4 linked regions of the Coturnix japonica genome follow. The protein of the gene in region 4 interacts with the protein of the main gene of each other region in a pairwise test. Links are inferred from orthologs where the notes say so. Each region holds a gene or a part of one and is shown on either strand. Other genes may lie near its edges.

Region 1 (4,186 bases), on a different chromosome or scaffold from region 4:
GAACACACAGCAAGGCACATGGTGTGCCCAGCACAGAGCAAGCAGCCATGCCAGGGCCTGGGCTGGGAGTATGGCTGCATGTAACAGCGTGCGCCTTGGCGGCGGGTGTGGAAGCAGCCACATTTGGGAAGGGTTTTAGGCACGTTGTAATGATTTCCAACTTCGGACTGTGAAGAATGCTGCCGTTACCACCATCAGCAGCTCTTCACCTGCTGCTGCTGCTTTGGCTTTAAATATTTTGGACAGAAATCTTATGGATGAAATGTCTATAAAACCAGATGCGTTGATACTTCAGCCGCACCATTTCCCACACACAGCCGCTTTACCCCACTCTCAGCACGGCTCTCAGTGACACGACAGCGGCATTCCCAGCCCTTCTAACCGAGCACGGTGCACGCTCCGTGTTGGGACCCCCGCTGTCGTCCAACCCTCCTCCGGTGCTGCGGAGCCGCCCTTCCCCGCTGCAGGACCGAGCCCAAGGTCACAGCCCCCGAGCCCACCCCGCGCTGCGGAGCCCCGGGAGGAGAAGAAGGAGGAGAAGGAGGAGGAGGAGGAGGTGGGGGGGGTGTCGCGCGGTCCCGCTTCCCTCCGGCTGCCGCCGCGCGCGCCCCCGAGCACGGCCGCCCCCCCGCCCCCGCGGGGCGGTTGTTGACGTCAGCGGTCGCCGAGGAACGGGCCGCAGGTGCATCCGTTTCCTCGGGGCCGGCGGCGCCTCCCGCCTCCGTGCCGGGTGCGGATCGAATCGGATCGGCCCTTCGCGCGGCCGTTCCCCGAGCGCGGAGCCCCCCTTGCCAGAGCGGCCCCGACGGGCGGCGGCAGAGAGCCGCGACGGGGCGGCCGCGAGCGCTGGGCTCGTATCGCTAGGGGGAGGCACGGCACCGGGAATCGGCGCGGAGCGAGGCAAGGCGGCCCCGCTGCCCGCGGGCTCGGGAGAACGTAGGGCCGGGGCGCCCCGTCGCCGGCTGCCGCGCCGCGCCCCCCGGCCCGGTTTTGCTTTCCCTTTCGGTGCCGCCTCTCCGCCGCGACGTTTTATTTATTTATTTTCCCAGAGGGTGGGGACGAGGGGAGGGGAGAGACTCGCCGCGGGGACGAGCCGCCTGGCGGGGAGGAGGCGGCCCCGACACGAGAGGCGGCGGCGGCGGCGGCGGGGAGGGGAGAGACTCGCCGCGGGGACGAGCCGCCTGGCGGGGAGGAGGCGGCCCCGACACGAGAGGCGGCGGCGGCGGCGGCGGCGGGGAGGAGAAGCCGGCGCGGAGCCGCTCCTCGCATCGCCTCGCCCACCCCGCAGCCCCTCCGCCGCCTCGCCTCCCCTGGCCGCCGGAGGCACCGGCGGCCGCCCGTCCCCATGATGGCCTCAACCGCCACCTGCACCCGCTTCACCGACGAGTACCAGCTCTACGAGGAGCTCGGCAAGTAAGTACGGGGCCGCTCCGGGGACGAGGGGGGAGAGGAGGGAAACACTGAGAGTCGGGGGGGCTCCGTCCCCGCGGGTTGGGGTGTGCGGGGCGATGCCTGCAGCCCTGCCTCGTCCCCGGGCGTCGCTTCAAGGCTGAGACTCGGTCCGTGAGCACAGCTCCGGGTGGGCGGCAATCCCTGCGGGTGCTGCGGGCGGTGACGGGCTGCCCTGCTGCCGGGCTGCCCTGCCGGCGGCAGCCGGAGCTCGCTACCCCCGACACGACCGCGGCCGGTTCGTCGGGCGCCCCCCTGCGTTGGGGCGCGTATCCCCGATCGCCATGTTGGCACGGACACGGGGACCCGGGGCCGCAACGTGCCGCCGCCGGGAGAGCGCTTCGGTCGCACCGCTCGAAACAGCGGCTCTGAGCAGCGTTTTGCTGTTGCGTTGATTAAAATGAGCGCTGACCGTCTCTGACAAGCCTCCCTTCTTCTTACAATTTATTTTTCTTATTATCCCGTTCCCTCCCCCCCTTAATTCTTTGGGCATCGTTCCGCTCCTTTAGATGTGTGGCAGCGCGGTGGTAATGGCAGGGCGCTGTTCGGGTGGCACTGACGCTCTGTCCCCTCTTGGCTTGCAGAGGAGCGTTCTCGGTCGTGAGGCGATGTATGAAAATCACCACAGGACAGGAGTATGCTGCCAAAATCATCAACACCAAAAAGCTCTCGGCCAGGGGTGGGTATATTCCATATATTCCAACCGAGCGTTTACGATATCTTCTCCTCATTTCTTGCATTCTTGTGGCGAGCGTTAAAACGGAGCACAGAATAATAAGAATTAAGGTTATTAATTTTCTCAGTAATTTTCTTCATTTCCTTTCAGGCAGTGGTTCTTTTTTATGCTAAACGTTTCAGAGGTTAACCGTATGGAGGGCTGTGTTGCTGTACCTTAAAGGGAAGCTTTATGAAGTGATTTAAATGAGTGCATCCTCTTCCCGTTTTTACATTGGAAAAACTGGAAAGGATTGTACACTCTGATTTTTTTAGGGGAAGGCTGGGAAACAAGTTGACATTGCGGCTTTTATCATAAATATGTGTTTTCTTTTCTGAATTCAAAGTTTCCATTGCATTTAAACTGAAACGTGAAAAAGGCCTATTTGAATCCGTGGAGAAGAGTGTGATGCCCCCTCCTGTACTGAACTTTGTGATGAGATCCCGGGGAAAGGGAAAATTCCTTTTTTGAAGCGTCCATTTGTGAACACAAGTCATTCTGAATGACACATTGTGTCACAGCTCCAGCCCAGCATTAATGCCTGCTGCACCGCATGCTTAGGTTTTACTGTAACATGTTTGTTTCCCTTATGTTCTGCCTGTCAGTGGGAAGTCGTGGTGATACATTTGGGTGGTCACGTGTGTGCTGTAGGTTACTGCTGTCGGCAGCAAGCCTCAATGGAGATATGTCAATTCCTTGTTAAACCCACGTCAAAGTGATTGTAGGAGGATGTCGAGGATTAGGGATTATTCTCTGTTAACACTACCTGTGTTTTGATGTGAGTTTGTGATATGGTAAAGAATGTGAAAGTGAATAAGCAAGTGGTGTCAGCTCTGTAGTCTTCCTTAGAAGTCATCATTTGAGACATGCTGTTTTTCAGGCTTTCATTTTGTGCTTCCTTGGCTGTTCAGGCAGGACCGAGTTGGTCCTCACTGCAGCCCATTGATGCACCCAGACCTGCTGGGGAGAATTTGGCTGGCAAGGTGGAATGTAGCAAAACTCATGCAAAGAAAAATTTCTGTTGGTTTGAAGTGTAGGCCCATAAAGCAAGGAGTTGGGTTTTCGAGGTTGGTAACTGGGCTGTGAAATATTCTTCCATATGTGAATGAATGTGATGCTGTGTCCACGAATGCAGTGGATCCATTTCCATCTTGGCTTTCAAAGATTCCAGATTTTATTTTATTATTTTAGTTTACATGCACTGCTGTTCTTTAGCTTTTATCTTTTGGAAGACAAATAACAACATCTCAGCAGCTTTTGAAGAGCAAGCTCCTTACAGAGATCCTGGGATTCCTCTTAAGCAATTCTGCAGTTACAAAAGGGTGTTACTTGCAGTGCCTCTGTCTGTGATACTTTAACGTGACTGATACTAAGTATGCAGCTTACAACTCGGACTACATTTCAAGTAGTATCTAAATTATAAGTTTCATTCTCCTCCTGTCTGATCTGCTTTATGATGAGGTAGCAGTTCACTTTGATGTTTCCAGCTTCTCACCTGAAATACAGATCATAATGTAAATCTGAAGGTTATTGGGTGAGCTTCATCTGTGAGCGGTTAGAGGTTCTCAGCTTGCCATGTATCCCATGTACAACCCTGCTTGTCTGTAACTCTGAAGCACTACATCAAATTTGAGCCTTCTTGCTTGCAAGACAGAGTTGCCATTACAGTGTTTTGATGGGGAGGAGTCACGGCTGTTAATCTAAAGGAGAACTCAACATGATTTGAGTTGAAAAATTATTTGACTGTGTCAGCCTTGATACAACAATAATTGTCACTCCAGCCACAAATGATGTTGGAGATTGTTTGGATCCTTCCCTTAGCAGCCCTTCTAAACACAGGGTGATGTCGTCACACGCTTACGCCAGTGAAGGTGTGTTCTCTTCTGATTCCTTGTTCAGTTGTGAAGAAATTCTGGAGTAACCATGTCCAGAGATGGGCTTTGGCTTTCATTTGGAGGGAAGGAAAAGGAAGTTTGGTTCTGTTGTGTTTTGGTTTTGCAGAAGTGACTTTTGTGCTTTTAA
Region 2 (3,712 bases), on a different chromosome or scaffold from region 4:
AAGACACAGTTTAGGATATGCAAGCGTTAAGACAGTTAAGACAGCTTAAAAAAAAATTGCTAGTAAATGCAAAACAACCACCTCTGATCCCACATTCAGCTGTGTCCTACCATGGCACATTCATACCATGGGAACACCTGTTCCCCCTCTGGGGCGTGTGCTCTGTGGACAAAGTTCAGCCTCCATACGTTGTCACATTTTACTTTCAAAACACTGAGGTCTTCCTCTCTCATCCACAGCCACAAATCCTTTCATCCTCATCCCTATCTGTGCAGTCATGACTTATTCAAGCATGCTCCGACACATTTCCATGCATAAAGCAACCCATAGGGACAGTCATTGCAATCAATTTAATTTTCCCCAAGAAAATTAAATTTTTATCTTTGCTTTTATTCATCTCATGACTTTGCTATAGTTGTTGTTGTTTTCTCCAAATCACTCTTCATGCCTGACACACCGAACCCAGTAACTCTGAGAGGTGTAACAGTCTCATCACCTTTTCCTCACACAAGTTTTCTTTCTTCCTTTCCCACGTCTCCCTACTCCTTTATAGTGTCTCTACCCTGAGGATAATGAAGTCTTGTTTTACCTTTCTCTAAGTCCATTGCATCTTCTGGGCTCACTAAGAGCTTTTTCACTGACATTGCTATGGTCTTTTCCCCTTCCTAGGTCTTGGGAGGGGACCACAAGACCTGGGCAGGTGAAAAAAAATGTATGCTTTTAGATACACACATATACATGCGTTCGGTACCTTAATTTTGCTTCAGTCCTTTTGTGGGTCTGGATCCTAAGTTGAAACATAAGTTTAACTGGTATTTTTCATTTTCCATGAGTATATAAGCACCATGCATCACCCTTCACATGTAAGATTTCAGAGAAAGTTAACAGGAAATGATAGCAAATTATAAAAAGCTGTAGGTCACTTTAGAAGTCTGCTCTTTTGCAGTCCATCACTGTACATTTGGCACGAAAAACACAACATTTCTCCCTTTACCACCTCCCTTCCACTTCAGAAGTAGGAAACTTCATAGGAGAAACTTACCCTCCAGTGCCAATAGACCTCTTCTGGTGGTTTTTGGAATCATAATAACGTTGCAGAATCATCGCGCTCCTACTTTTCAAATAGCCAATTTCCACCTCAATGTAATTCTCCAAGTAGGAAATGAAAATGGATTTGATAAGCTTAGACAAGAAAGTCTGCTTATCGGTACCCAAGTTAAATTCCATCAATTTGCTTGAAAGATTAGTAGTTCTTTATGCAAAACAAAGAAGGGGAGAGGAGGAAAAGGTTGTATTTGTATGAATTACAGCATTATATGCTTGTAAAAGTACATGGTACAACAGAATCCAGATCATGATTAGAACTTCTAGCAGCTTTATACTTAAGTAAAGAACTTTGCATAATTCATGTTTGATTACATATGGCACAATTGCCATCAAGGGAAGGACTGGCTTTCACCCAGTTTAAAAATCACACTCAAAGATCACAATGTTAAATACCTCCCATTCAAAACGATAACAGCTATTTAAAGTTTCTAAAGAAATTTAATCATTGGAAAGTTTGACAGACATTAAATTTTTCCCATTTTTACGAGGAGTTTACTTTTTTGTCTGATATTCCGACATCTTGATGATGATTAATCAATTCATTCCAAGAGGATAACTACAACAATAATTTTATCATCTACATGCATATACCTTGTATACAGATCGTAAAGATTCTTAAGATACTGTTCTGCATCCGATTTCCTGTGTTCTTCCAGTTGGTCCTTCACATAACTCTGTAAAATTTAGGTATATCTGTTAGAAGAATAGATATCAAACCTCAGGTCATCCTCACTTGTTAGATTATACATATAATTTACTTCAAAGCACACACCTTAACCCAAAGGCTGTATGGATTGCTTAAGTCTCTGATACAACAGAATTTCTGTCTTCTACAGATAAATACATTGTTTTGAAGGAAATGATTTATTAATACAAAGTAGCAGCAGGTAAAGCAAACAGCAAAGAGGGATTGCTTTGAAAACATGCTAGTCCAAACACAAGATCCCCACTCTTAAAGAATCAAAACCACTAGAGGCCTAAGGGTAGGTCTACAGTTGACAGCAAGAGAAAGAGGTACTTATATATTTGCTAACTACAATACATACATAATGCAGATACAAGCTTAGAGTCTTCCTGTAATCAACTATTTGGCCAAAAAATATTATTTACCATAAAATACTAAGTCAAAACTGATGGTCAAATTGGGGAATGAAATACAAACTCAGTCTCCCTGCTCCATATTATCAATAATAAGGAAAACAACACTGACTGGGAAATTGCACTTTGCAATGAATAGGCATACTGCTGACTTCACATACTTAAGGGAGTATATTTTCAGGATGGGTAATGGGGTTTTCAACTAATGTTTCTAAATGTTCATATAAATATTCCAAGCATCGGCTATTACACCTTTATTCATTACTAACCTCACACATGAAACCCAATTCCAACTACGAACAGGTTAAAGATGTTTATTAAATGTGAAACTCCTTTTCCTGACATATTCTGGGTAGGTGGCATAAAGAAGAAACCAAAAGCGTATGACATCTCATGAACTAGCTAATGAACGTACTGATTCCCTTTTAATTTTACATACTGAATTTGAATGTTTTCATTCTTGCTGTATTCACAGTACAAGTAGTTTCATTTGAAGTGGGTCTGATTATCTGTATGAAACGCTATACGGCAATCAACTGTAATTCTACCTCTTTATACAGGATTATGAATCCTGTAAATTCTGAGCAACTGTTACTTCAAGCACATATGGATGAAAAGCTTCCTTGATCACTATAGTATACTAATATTTGAAGTACCTGAAGTTTAACTTCAAAGATGTTTTGGATGAGTTTGGCTAGCACAGTCTCCGGATTGCTGAAGACTTCTCCAACTTGCTTATTCACTCGCTGGCAGAGAATGGCTGCATCTTCAAACACATCATTCCTCAGAAACGCACCCTAGGGTTGTGGAAACAATTTCACAGCATATTTACAACTACTTATAGAATAAGGAAATCAACACCCAAAGAGATGCGTGTAAAACATAAAACGCATTACCTCTTGACACTGTTTTATGTACACATCAACACAATGGGAATAGCCCTGTGGAAGGAGGAAAAAAAATAGTCTTAAAACCAGGCTCTCCGTGACTTTTATACAGAACGAAATTAAGGAGATAAAACTCCTGCAAAGAAATTAACACAAGAAATACATTTATCTGAAGCACAGGCTTTTTCCAGTCCATTCTTGTCACAAATCTAGCAGAACTTCACTTATCACAGCTCACCGTGGATGCACATGACAGGTATTAATGCTCTTCAAGCACGAATGACAACTCACACAATTCAAGAAAAATTCCCCTCAGAATGTTCTCTATTGACAATGTCTCTGATTCCCCACCATAGAATCACAGAATGGCCTGGGTTGAAAAGGCCCACAATGATCATCCAATTTTAAACCCCTTCTGCTTGCAGGGTCACCAACCACCAGACCAGGCTGCTCAGAGCCACATCCAGCCTGGCCTCAAATGCCTCCAGGGATGGCATTTGCCTCCTTTATTGACCTACATTTGATTTCAGATGGAACATTTCAGTATTTTTAAAAGATATATGGGTAACAACCATTTGCCTGTGCAAATATTTTCACTTAAAGGATGAGCTGGTGGATTT
Region 3 (4,383 bases), on a different chromosome or scaffold from region 4:
AACCCACCAACATACGATACCACACCAAAAGCCTCACAAAGTCAACCTACAGCACAGATAGCACTGTTACACCTTACAAAAGGAAATATGAGTGGCCTGATGAAACAAAGTTTTCCTAAGCCTTGTCAGTATTTCATAATTTGTTTGGCTGGTTGCTTAACTGCAGGCTCTGAAAACAAACAAAAAGTTCAGGAAAGTTATTTTCACAGAGTTTTTTTGAATATACAGATGAGAAAGATAACCAAGACATCTTCCTGCTTTCCCCCCATCTCACCTGTTCTCTGCAGCTGCAGAGCTGCAACACTAATTTGTGTGAATGACACCTAACTTGTCTGAAGTTATTCTCTGAATAACTTGCGCCCTTCACCTGGCTTAGCTTTTGTCAACATGTCTGTGCATTGATTTAGCTCTCAGTGAAAGCTCAACCAAAAAACAGCAGCAATACATACTTGGGTTTTGGTGTACTCTGTTGCGTAACAGACTGGGCTTTATTTCTCATACTAACTTACAGACTGTTTCTTCAATGCTTCTGCAAGATTACAGCTACATCATTTCACACCTTGATTTTTTCATTTTTGTTCCTACATGCTCACTCCTGGTCATTTCACTTGAATTGTGCTCTATGCTTTTTTGCTTCTTCTTTCAAACGCACTGATGAGTTTTCTTGGAAGCTGACCTTTGCTTTCCCTCCTTCCTACGTTACATGCTGCCCTCCTTTTTTCAAATGCTCAGACATTTTCATGCTATTTACTCACTGACAGCTTAACATCTGGATGCTACGGATGTTAACCTTATCATATACGCATAGAAAAACATATTTGGGCCCCTAAAGGAGTAAGAAAACATCATCTAAAATAACACATGCACATGCAGTACTCATTGACAGCTTAACATCTGGATGCTACGGATGTTAACCTTACCATCCCTGATATTATATACACATAGAAAAACATATTTGGGCTCCTAAAGGTGTAAGAAAACATCATCTAAAATAATACATGCACATGCAGTAAGCATAACTTTTTCAAGGTAAAGAACTGAAGATGTGTTCTTTAGAATGTGACACCAAACTAACAGAGGAGCTCAGCATAGCAGCCCTCACTTGGATGAGAAGCCAAGAAGCTGCCTTTGAAATTAAGCACAGCATTTCAGTGCTAAACCCTAAGTTTCAACTTATAGACTCGACCTCAGAGAGCTGTGCATACAGCTCCGGCCCAACAAGGCTCCTTGCCACCTCTCTCCCCACACAGCAGCAGGCCGGCTGCAGCCCAGCACTCACCCAGCAGCTCCTGGGTGCCATGCAGGAGCCTCCATCCTCCCCGTGCGGGCAGGGCCAGCCCAGCACCCAACACCGGCCGCCCGCCTCGCAACAACCTCATCACCCCGGCTCCTCCGCTCCGCCACCAGGAGGCCGCCATCTTGCCTGGCCCTCACTGCAGGGAAGGGGCTGCCCTTAGCGCTGCCTGAACGGAAAAGCCGGCTGCGGGTCGGGGTTACGGTGTCATGGCTGCCGCCGGCGGTGATGGCGTCCAGCTCAACAACGCGGTGCAGGTAACGAGAGGTAGCAGCGCTTAGAACGAGGCAGGATTTAAACCAGGCCTTAGAAAGACGTGTCCTAAAAGAGAAGACATGTCCCCTTGCAATTGAAGTCGTAAATAATAGCGTCATTGCTGAAATATGGCTGTCACCCGTTTAAACTGAGTCTCAGGATTGAAATTCTTAACGTTTTCTGATCGCTTTTCGTTGATCCTTTTTCTGATTTATTTTTAGGATAAGTTACATCCGAGAAATCTTATCCCAGAACTTTGTAGGCTGTTTTATGGTTTAGGCTGGGTAACGGGAACTGGTGGAGGAATCAGCCTGAAATATGGGTAAGTAAAGGTGGAAGAGCAAGAAGCTGTATGATCTTTAAAGGTCCAAAAAATAGTTTTTTTGAAGCACAGCTTTGCTTTTTAACTGTTCATTACCCCCTACTTATACTTTCAAAGCTTCTAATGGAAACAGAACCCCTGCTAGGGACTGCTGAACTAAAAAGAGAAACTTTCACTCCACAAAATACCTTTCAGGGTCTGTCGCTGCCCCATCATGGACACTGTAACTTAAAAGTTACTAATCTCTGATTTTTCTGACGTACATGCAGTGTGTATCAGAAAAAGAAACAACACAGCTGTTAGTAGAGTAGCTTCCAATGTATCTTACATGGTAGGAGTAGTAACCTGAATGATTGTACTCATTTTTATACCTTCATTAGCATAAGGTATGTTTCAGAATGAACAGCTGTGAGGCAGAGCAAGTAGACTAACCTAGACTAACCTGGTTCCATAGGAACAACCGAAGTTCTAGCAGCTCATTCTACCTCACATCCTGATCAACATTACTGACTGCACTGTTCATAGCAACAACTCAAAGTGAAGATGCCAAGATATGGCATAGCATTATTAAAATCAGATCTAGAATTTTTTATCAGCTGTCCTATATTTCACTTCTTCTGAGCCATGAATTTCTTGACAAGAGAGAAAAATATTCAAACATCTCACACTCCTTAAGAGATACACCTGTAACTTGACTAATTATTCACTAGATGTCTCTGTGCTCCCGAATTTAAAGCATTGCTGCTGAAACTAAAGAGTGTTTAAGTACGAGATAGCAGTCTGATTTTCTTTGTTGTTATTGAAAATATTTCAGTTGCCTCCTTAAAATTATTTACATTTAAATCAGTATTTTGATGGATTTTGTTCATGTAAACTATGGAAGAACAAAACAAAACTAAACCAAAAGACAACCCCATCTACCCATGACCACATATGTGGAAGAGCGATAAATTTACTGTCACAGTTTAGTTTTGCTTTTTCTTTTCAAGTGAATGTAGAGCTCTAATGCTCATGCTGTTACAAAGACGTTTGTTTTTTAATAGTTTTACCTATCTTAAATTTTTTTTTAGGAATGAAATCTATATTGCTCCTTCAGGAGTCCAGAAGGAAAGAATACAGGTATGTTTAACTGCATTTCTACCTTAGAGCTCATATTCAGATGGGTAAAATTACCTATGTTTAATGTTTTATTTTTCCTTAGATAAAGTTGGGCTTACAATATGGTCTGCATTCCTGAAATAACTGGATTTCTCCTCTTATTTAAGTACTCAGCTGCCAAGGCAAGCCTATGGCCAGCATAGAATCAAAGAAGACTGAAAGTTACTCTAGATCAGCTTTTCTCTTTTTCTAGATTAAATGGCTTTATAGCTATCTGAGTAGTTTCAGGTTACTGTAGTACACACGTTTTACACTTTAACACCTCTTTTCTGTTTCATAGTTTCATTTTCCTTCTACAGAGGAATATATATGAAACTGTTCAGGCAATCACAGGTCAAAATAATTTCTCTGATACAGCCAGAAGATATGTTTGTTTGTGACATGAACGAGCGGGACATCAGTGGTCCCCCAGCTCACAAGAAACTAAAGAAAAGCCAGTGCACGCCTCTTTTTATGAATGCCTACACTATGAGAGGTATGTAGCAAGTCTTTTTGCTTTACTGTTGACTGAAATGCCGTATATACATTGTCAACAACATTCAAATTCAATACCAGATTCTTTAAATGTAGAAGTCACAGTGAAAAAGACATGAGCCTGTAAAATATAAATAAATTTCTCCAAGCACACATACAATGGAATGTAATCCACAGTAACATCTGTAAGCCTTTTCTACGGCTTCCTACATAACTACACCTGAGATCATTTTCAGCACTGATTTTTACCCCAGTCTATTAATAGGTTGTTGGAGGGAATGGGAAGTCCTTGACACGCCTTGGCTATCATCAAAGGTTCTAAATTTTTACGTGAAAGAAATATGAAGCTTTTCCTTACCTTATAATCACAGTGCCAGTTTGCAGTGGAGCATCCATTTCCTTTTCTTGTGTCAGGGATGCTAAAGAAGGCTCTTCTTTATAAGTTTAGAAATTCTTTAGAATCATGGATACCTGATAAAATTATTACAGTGTTTTAGTTTTTATAGCACATAAGAAAACTATAGAAGGAGTGCTTCTCTTTGCTTTTGTGCAAGTAGTTTTTCTCTTGCAATTTGTCACTAAGTAAAAGTTGACATTGCTGTCCTAAAATACTCTAGAATTATCCTTTATAGGTGTGCAATTATTTCCTACCTTTATTTAGGCTGCTGTGCAATTTTTCTTCTGATACAGTAAATTACTGTTTGCTAAGATGCATAGCCAAAGAAAATCAAATACAGTAACATTTTTTTCTTAATAAATGCCTTTCAAATATTATTTTTTAAAATTGTATATATATGTATATAAAATTAAAATATTAATTTTTTACTATTTTTTTTTTCCTCTTCTTAGGAGCGGGTGCAGTGATACATACCCATTCCAA
Region 4 (4,270 bases):
TCACTCTGCTCCCATTTCTCATTGAAGTTCTTGCACTGCTCCCCTCTTTCAATCCCCTCTAGTGTTTCCAGTTTGTTGGTCCTGGTGCACCCCATTACCCCCATTACTCCCAGTGCTTCCAGTTCTCCCCCATTACAGTTCTCATTATTTTTTTCCCCTTTTCTCAGGTTTTGACGAGTAAAGGCGACGCCTGGGCCAAGTACATGGCAGAAGTGAAGAAGTACAAAGCACATCAGTGCAGCGATGACGACAAAACGCGGCCCCTGGTGAAATAACCACCCCCTCCCCCTCCACCCCGGACATAATTACTGTACATAATTAATTATTTAAGGACGCAGGCAGCTCCTTCCAAGCGTTTTTATATGTACAAATATATATATCCCCATCGCACCCCAGGACTCTGCCGCCTGCGATGCCTCGGGGGAGGTGGGGGGCACAGCCCCCTGCCCACCGCTCACCCCCCCTGCAGGGCCCCCACTGCCACGTTCTCCCCCTCCCCCTGCCCGGCTCCATTTTGGGGTTAGAAGTGGAGAATTGGGGGAGGCCGATGGGAGCAGCCGCTGCTGTTGCTTCATTAAAGATCTCGGAGGTTTTAGAGTGTGGTGGTGTTTTTGGGGTGGGGGCTGCCCAGCTCAGAACCTCGGCTGTCACCAGAAGTTCTTGTTTTTGGGGTTATGGTTGTACTTTTTGGGGTTATGGTTGTACTTTTTGGGGTTCTGATGGTACTTTTGGTCGTTCTGATGGTGATTTTGGGGTTCTGGTGGTGATTTTGGGGTTCTGATGGTACTTTTGGGGTTCTGATGGTGATTTTGGGGTTCTGATGGTGATTTTGGGGTTCTGATGGTGATTTTGGGGCTCTGATGGTGATTTTGTGGTTCTGATGGTGGGGGATGCTGCCCAAACCTCACTGTGCCCCCTGTAAGTGCTGCCCGCATCCTCTTGGAGCACTGGGGTTGGGGTGAAGGTGGGATGGGATGGTCCTGAGCTTCTCCTCCCCCATTGCCCCCCGTTTCTGAGCCCTCCTGCTCTCCCATCCCTTTCTCCCATGTCTCCAATTCCCCTGGGTTCCCACCCGTGCCCCCATTCCCTGCTCCCCCATTGCTCCCAGTTCCCTTCCTTCACCCCCCATTACTTCCAATACACCTCAGTTCCCATTGCTCCCCTATAGCTCCGGGACCGGAAGGGGCTGGGCCCGAGCGGCGCCCACGGGCCCCTGGGAGATGTAGTTCGGAAGTTGAGGGTTGGGCTACGCGCATGCGCAGCAACGCACTTTCCGGTCTAGGCCCCGCCCCCCAACGCAGCACGCACGCACGCAGCCCCTCGCGCTCTCACGCGGTCACGTGGTGCGGCATACGGTGGCCGGCGCGGGTCAGTGCCCGCGTGCCGCGCTCCGCGGGCAGCGCCCGGTGCCCCGCAGGCCGCGCTCCGCCCTCCGCCCCGGAGCCCACCCCGGGCTCGGGAGCGACCCCCGGGAGGTACGAGGAGGAGACGGGAACGTGAGGAGGGAGAATTGGGCCTGGAGCGGGGGAAGGGGCGTGAGGGGGGAGGGGGATGGGATCTGTGGGGGTGGGACGGGGCATGTTTTTTGGGGGAGTGGGGAGCCTAATGGGGGGGAGGGGGTTGGATGTAGGCGGGCTGAATTCGGAGGCCCTGGGGGGGACCTGGAGAACGATCGCGGGGGGAAAGTGAACGGGATTAACGGGGGGGGAAGCCGGGCGCATGGACCGGCGGGCGAAAAATAGGGGCTTGGATGGGGGGAAAGGAGGAGGAGGAGCGAAGGGGGGGGGGAGAACGGGGGGAGTTGGGCGCCTAAGGGGGGGCAGCCGGGGGGATTATAAGATGCGTGGCCGCGGGGCTTCGTTGGGAAGTGGGGCTTAATGGGGGGGGGATGCTTTTGGGGGTTTGTTAACGGGGAACGCGGAGTAGTAGGAAGGGGGAATGGGGGTAACGTGACAGATCTAATTGGGCGTGAGGGGGGAAGGGGGCAAACGCCTGTGGGAGAAAAGGTTCATTGGCGTTCGTAATGGAGATGTAGGGGGGCAGTGGGGCCTGGGAAAAGGGGAGAAGTGCAGGTACTGAGAGAGAGAGATTCGGGGGCAGTGGGGCTGGGAAGTGGGGAATTGGAGCGAGAATGTTGGCGGTTACTTTCTGGGACTCGGGGAGGGGCGGGTTATTGGGGGAAAGGGGATAAGAGGTTCCAGAGGGCCATTTGGTGCTGGGGGGGATTGAAAGAAACGGTGAGTGGAAGAATTGGGGTTAATCGGGGACTGGGGGGATTTTTTGAGAGTGGGGGGTGAATAAAGGGGTTGTGGGCATAGGGGAAATAAGGTGAGATTCTGCCATGGTGGTTCGGTGTCTGATATTTGGGGGGGGAGGGGGGGGAAGTTTTGCCACCCCCACACCTGAATTTCCCTCCAGGGCCATCGCCATGGACTGGCAGCCGGACGAGCAGGGGCTCCAGCAGATCCTGCAGCTGCTGAAGGACTCGCAGTCCCCCAACACAGCGACGCAGCGCATTGTGCAGGACGTATCCGTGGGGCTGCAATGGGGTCGGGGGGTGGGGAGTGAAAGAGGAGCATGGGGGGCTGATGTGGGTCATAGTCCCCATTCTGCCCCATCTTGTTCTGTCCCTGACCCCATCCTTGTCCCAACCTGCTGTGGTCTTTGCCCCTTCCTGTTCTGACCCATTCATTATCTTATTCCTATCCCTTACCTCATCCTTGTCCCATTTTCTTCCTACCTCGGTCTCTCCCTACCCTGTCCAATTTACATCCCTTCCTTACTCCAGTCATTCTACTCCTTTTCTCTCCCAATCTGTGTATCTTTCTGTCCCCATCTCTGTCTGTCCCCATCGTGTTCCAATCTTTATCCTTCTCCCCCCCGCTGCTCCATCTTACCCTGCTCCCATCCTTAACCCCACACCACAGAAACTGAAGCAGCTCAACCAATTCCCTGACTTCAACAACTACCTGATCTTCGTTCTGACCCGGCTCAAATCTGAAGGTGGGTTTGCACCCAGGGGGGAATGGGGGGGCTGACAGAGCTCACTCACAGCCCCCCCACCCCAAAACCCACTCACTGCCCCTTCCCCAGATGAGCCCACACGGTCGCTGAGCGGCCTAATCCTAAAGAACAACGTCAAGGCCCACTATCAGAGTTTCCCCCCCCCTGTGGCTGAGTTCATCAAGCAGGAATGCCTCAACAACATCGGTGATGCCTCCTCTCTCATCCGTGCCACCATCGGTGAGGAAGAGGGGAAAAACCCACCCCAAACCCCCATCCTGAGCTCCCCCTCCCCACATTGGAGCTCACTGTGATTGCCTTATAGGTATCCTCATCACCACCATCGCTTCCAAAGGGGAGTTGCAGATGTGGCCTGAGCTGCTCCCACAGCTCTGCAACCTGCTCAACTCAGAGGACTACAACACGTGTGAGGTATGGGAGGCTGCGTGGGGCTATGGAGGGGGGGGGTGTCTGTGTGGGGCTGGGGGGGTCCTGGGGCAGTGCTGACCCCCCCCCTCTTCCATGGGCACACAGGGGGCATTTGGGGCGCTGCAGAAGATCTGTGAGGATTCCTCAGAGCTCCTGGACAGCGATGCGCTCAACCGTCCGCTCAACGTCATGATCCCCAAATTCCTGCAGTTCTTCAAGCACTGCAGCCCTAAAATCAGGTCTGGGGAGAAAAACCCCCAAACTGGGTGTGGAGGGGTTGAAGGAGGAACCCTCCCAGTTCTCCTTCATTAGTTAATGAGTTCATAACAAGCTGTTCCCTCCCCCCCCCAAACAGGTCCCATGCCATCGCCTGTGTCAATCAGTTCATCATGGACCGTGCTCAGGCACTGATGGAGAACATTGACACCTTCATTGAGGTGGGGGGAAAACTGGGCTGGGTGGGGGGACAGGGGGCTGTAGGGGGGAATGCTGTGTTCATTGTGGCCTCCACCCCCCCCCCCCATAGCACCTCTTTGCTCTGGCTGTGGATGAGGACCCCGAGGTGAGGAAGAATGTCTGCCGAGCTCTGGTGATGCTCCTGGAGGTCCGCATTGACCGCCTCATCCCCCACATGCATAGCATCATCCAGGTGGGTTTTGAGGGGGGTTGGGTAGGGTTGGAGCAGCTCATGGGGCTGACGTTGCCTCTCCTCCTCCAGTATATGCTGCAGCGGACACAGGACAGTGATGAGAACGTGGCCTTGGAGGCATGTGAGTTCTGGCTGACACTGGCAGAGCAGCCCATCTGCAAGGAGGTGCTGACGTCCCATCTGGTGCAG

What was found.
Region 1: the proteins of TNPO2 (region 4) and CAMK2D interact in binary tests that used the Homo sapiens proteins (3 or more experiments, as listed by UniProt). The two-hybrid records come from large-scale screens. The link is inferred for Coturnix japonica from reciprocal best matches to the Homo sapiens genes TNPO2 and CAMK2D.
Region 2: the proteins of TNPO2 (region 4) and EXOC5 interact in binary tests that used the Homo sapiens proteins (3 or more experiments, as listed by UniProt). The two-hybrid records come from large-scale screens. The link is inferred for Coturnix japonica from reciprocal best matches to the Homo sapiens genes TNPO2 and EXOC5.
Region 3: the proteins of TNPO2 (region 4) and APIP interact in binary tests that used the Homo sapiens proteins (3 or more experiments, as listed by UniProt). The two-hybrid records come from large-scale screens. The link is inferred for Coturnix japonica from reciprocal best matches to the Homo sapiens genes TNPO2 and APIP.

What each region holds. Positions count from the first base shown.
Region 1 is NC_029519.1:50,655,297-50,659,482, forward strand, and holds the start of CAMK2D (calcium/calmodulin-dependent protein kinase type II subunit delta), read left to right. Parts: upstream 1-1,212; 5' UTR 1,213-1,345; coding exon 1,346-1,413; intron 1,414-2,003; exon of another isoform or gene 2,004-2,033; coding exon 2,034-2,128; intron 2,129-4,186. UniProt on the Homo sapiens protein: Calcium/calmodulin-dependent protein kinase involved in the regulation of Ca(2+) homeostatis and excitation-contraction coupling (ECC) in heart by targeting ion channels, transporters and accessory proteins involved in Ca(2+) influx into the myocyte, Ca(2+) release from the sarcoplasmic reticulum (SR), SR Ca(2+) uptake and Na(+) and K(+) channel transport.
Region 2 is NC_029520.1:50,519,471-50,523,182, reverse strand, and holds part of EXOC5 (exocyst complex component 5), read right to left. Parts: intron 3,147-3,712; coding exon 3,102-3,146; intron 3,003-3,101; coding exon 2,862-3,002; intron 1,782-2,861; coding exon 1,699-1,781; intron 1,253-1,698; coding exon 1,043-1,252; intron 788-1,042; coding exon 752-787; intron 1-751. UniProt on the Homo sapiens protein: Component of the exocyst complex involved in the docking of exocytic vesicles with fusion sites on the plasma membrane.
Region 3 is NC_029520.1:5,994,927-5,999,309, forward strand, and holds the start of APIP (methylthioribulose-1-phosphate dehydratase), read left to right. Parts: upstream 1-1,439; 5' UTR 1,440-1,503; coding exon 1,504-1,551; intron 1,552-1,770; coding exon 1,771-1,871; intron 1,872-2,941; coding exon 2,942-2,990; intron 2,991-3,328; coding exon of another isoform or gene 3,329-3,386; coding exon 3,387-3,504; intron 3,505-3,861; exon of another isoform or gene 3,862-3,943; intron 3,944-4,352; coding exon 4,353-4,383. Other genes in the region: PDHX (pyruvate dehydrogenase protein X component, mitochondrial), read right to left, coding at 1,280-1,418. UniProt on the Homo sapiens protein: Catalyzes the dehydration of methylthioribulose-1-phosphate (MTRu-1-P) into 2,3-diketo-5-methylthiopentyl-1-phosphate (DK-MTP-1-P).
Region 4 is NW_015439889.1:80,211-84,480, forward strand, and holds the start of TNPO2 (transportin-2), read left to right. Parts: upstream 1-1,332; 5' UTR 1,333-1,475; intron 1,476-2,418; 5' UTR 2,419-2,428; coding exon 2,429-2,527; intron 2,528-2,927; coding exon 2,928-3,003; intron 3,004-3,093; coding exon 3,094-3,243; intron 3,244-3,328; coding exon 3,329-3,435; intron 3,436-3,537; coding exon 3,538-3,671; intron 3,672-3,787; coding exon 3,788-3,869; intron 3,870-3,958; coding exon 3,959-4,081; intron 4,082-4,150; coding exon 4,151-4,269; intron 4,270-4,270. Other genes in the region: TRIR (telomerase RNA component interacting RNase), read left to right, coding at 168-275. UniProt on the Homo sapiens protein: Probably functions in nuclear protein import as nuclear transport receptor. Serves as receptor for nuclear localization signals (NLS) in cargo substrates.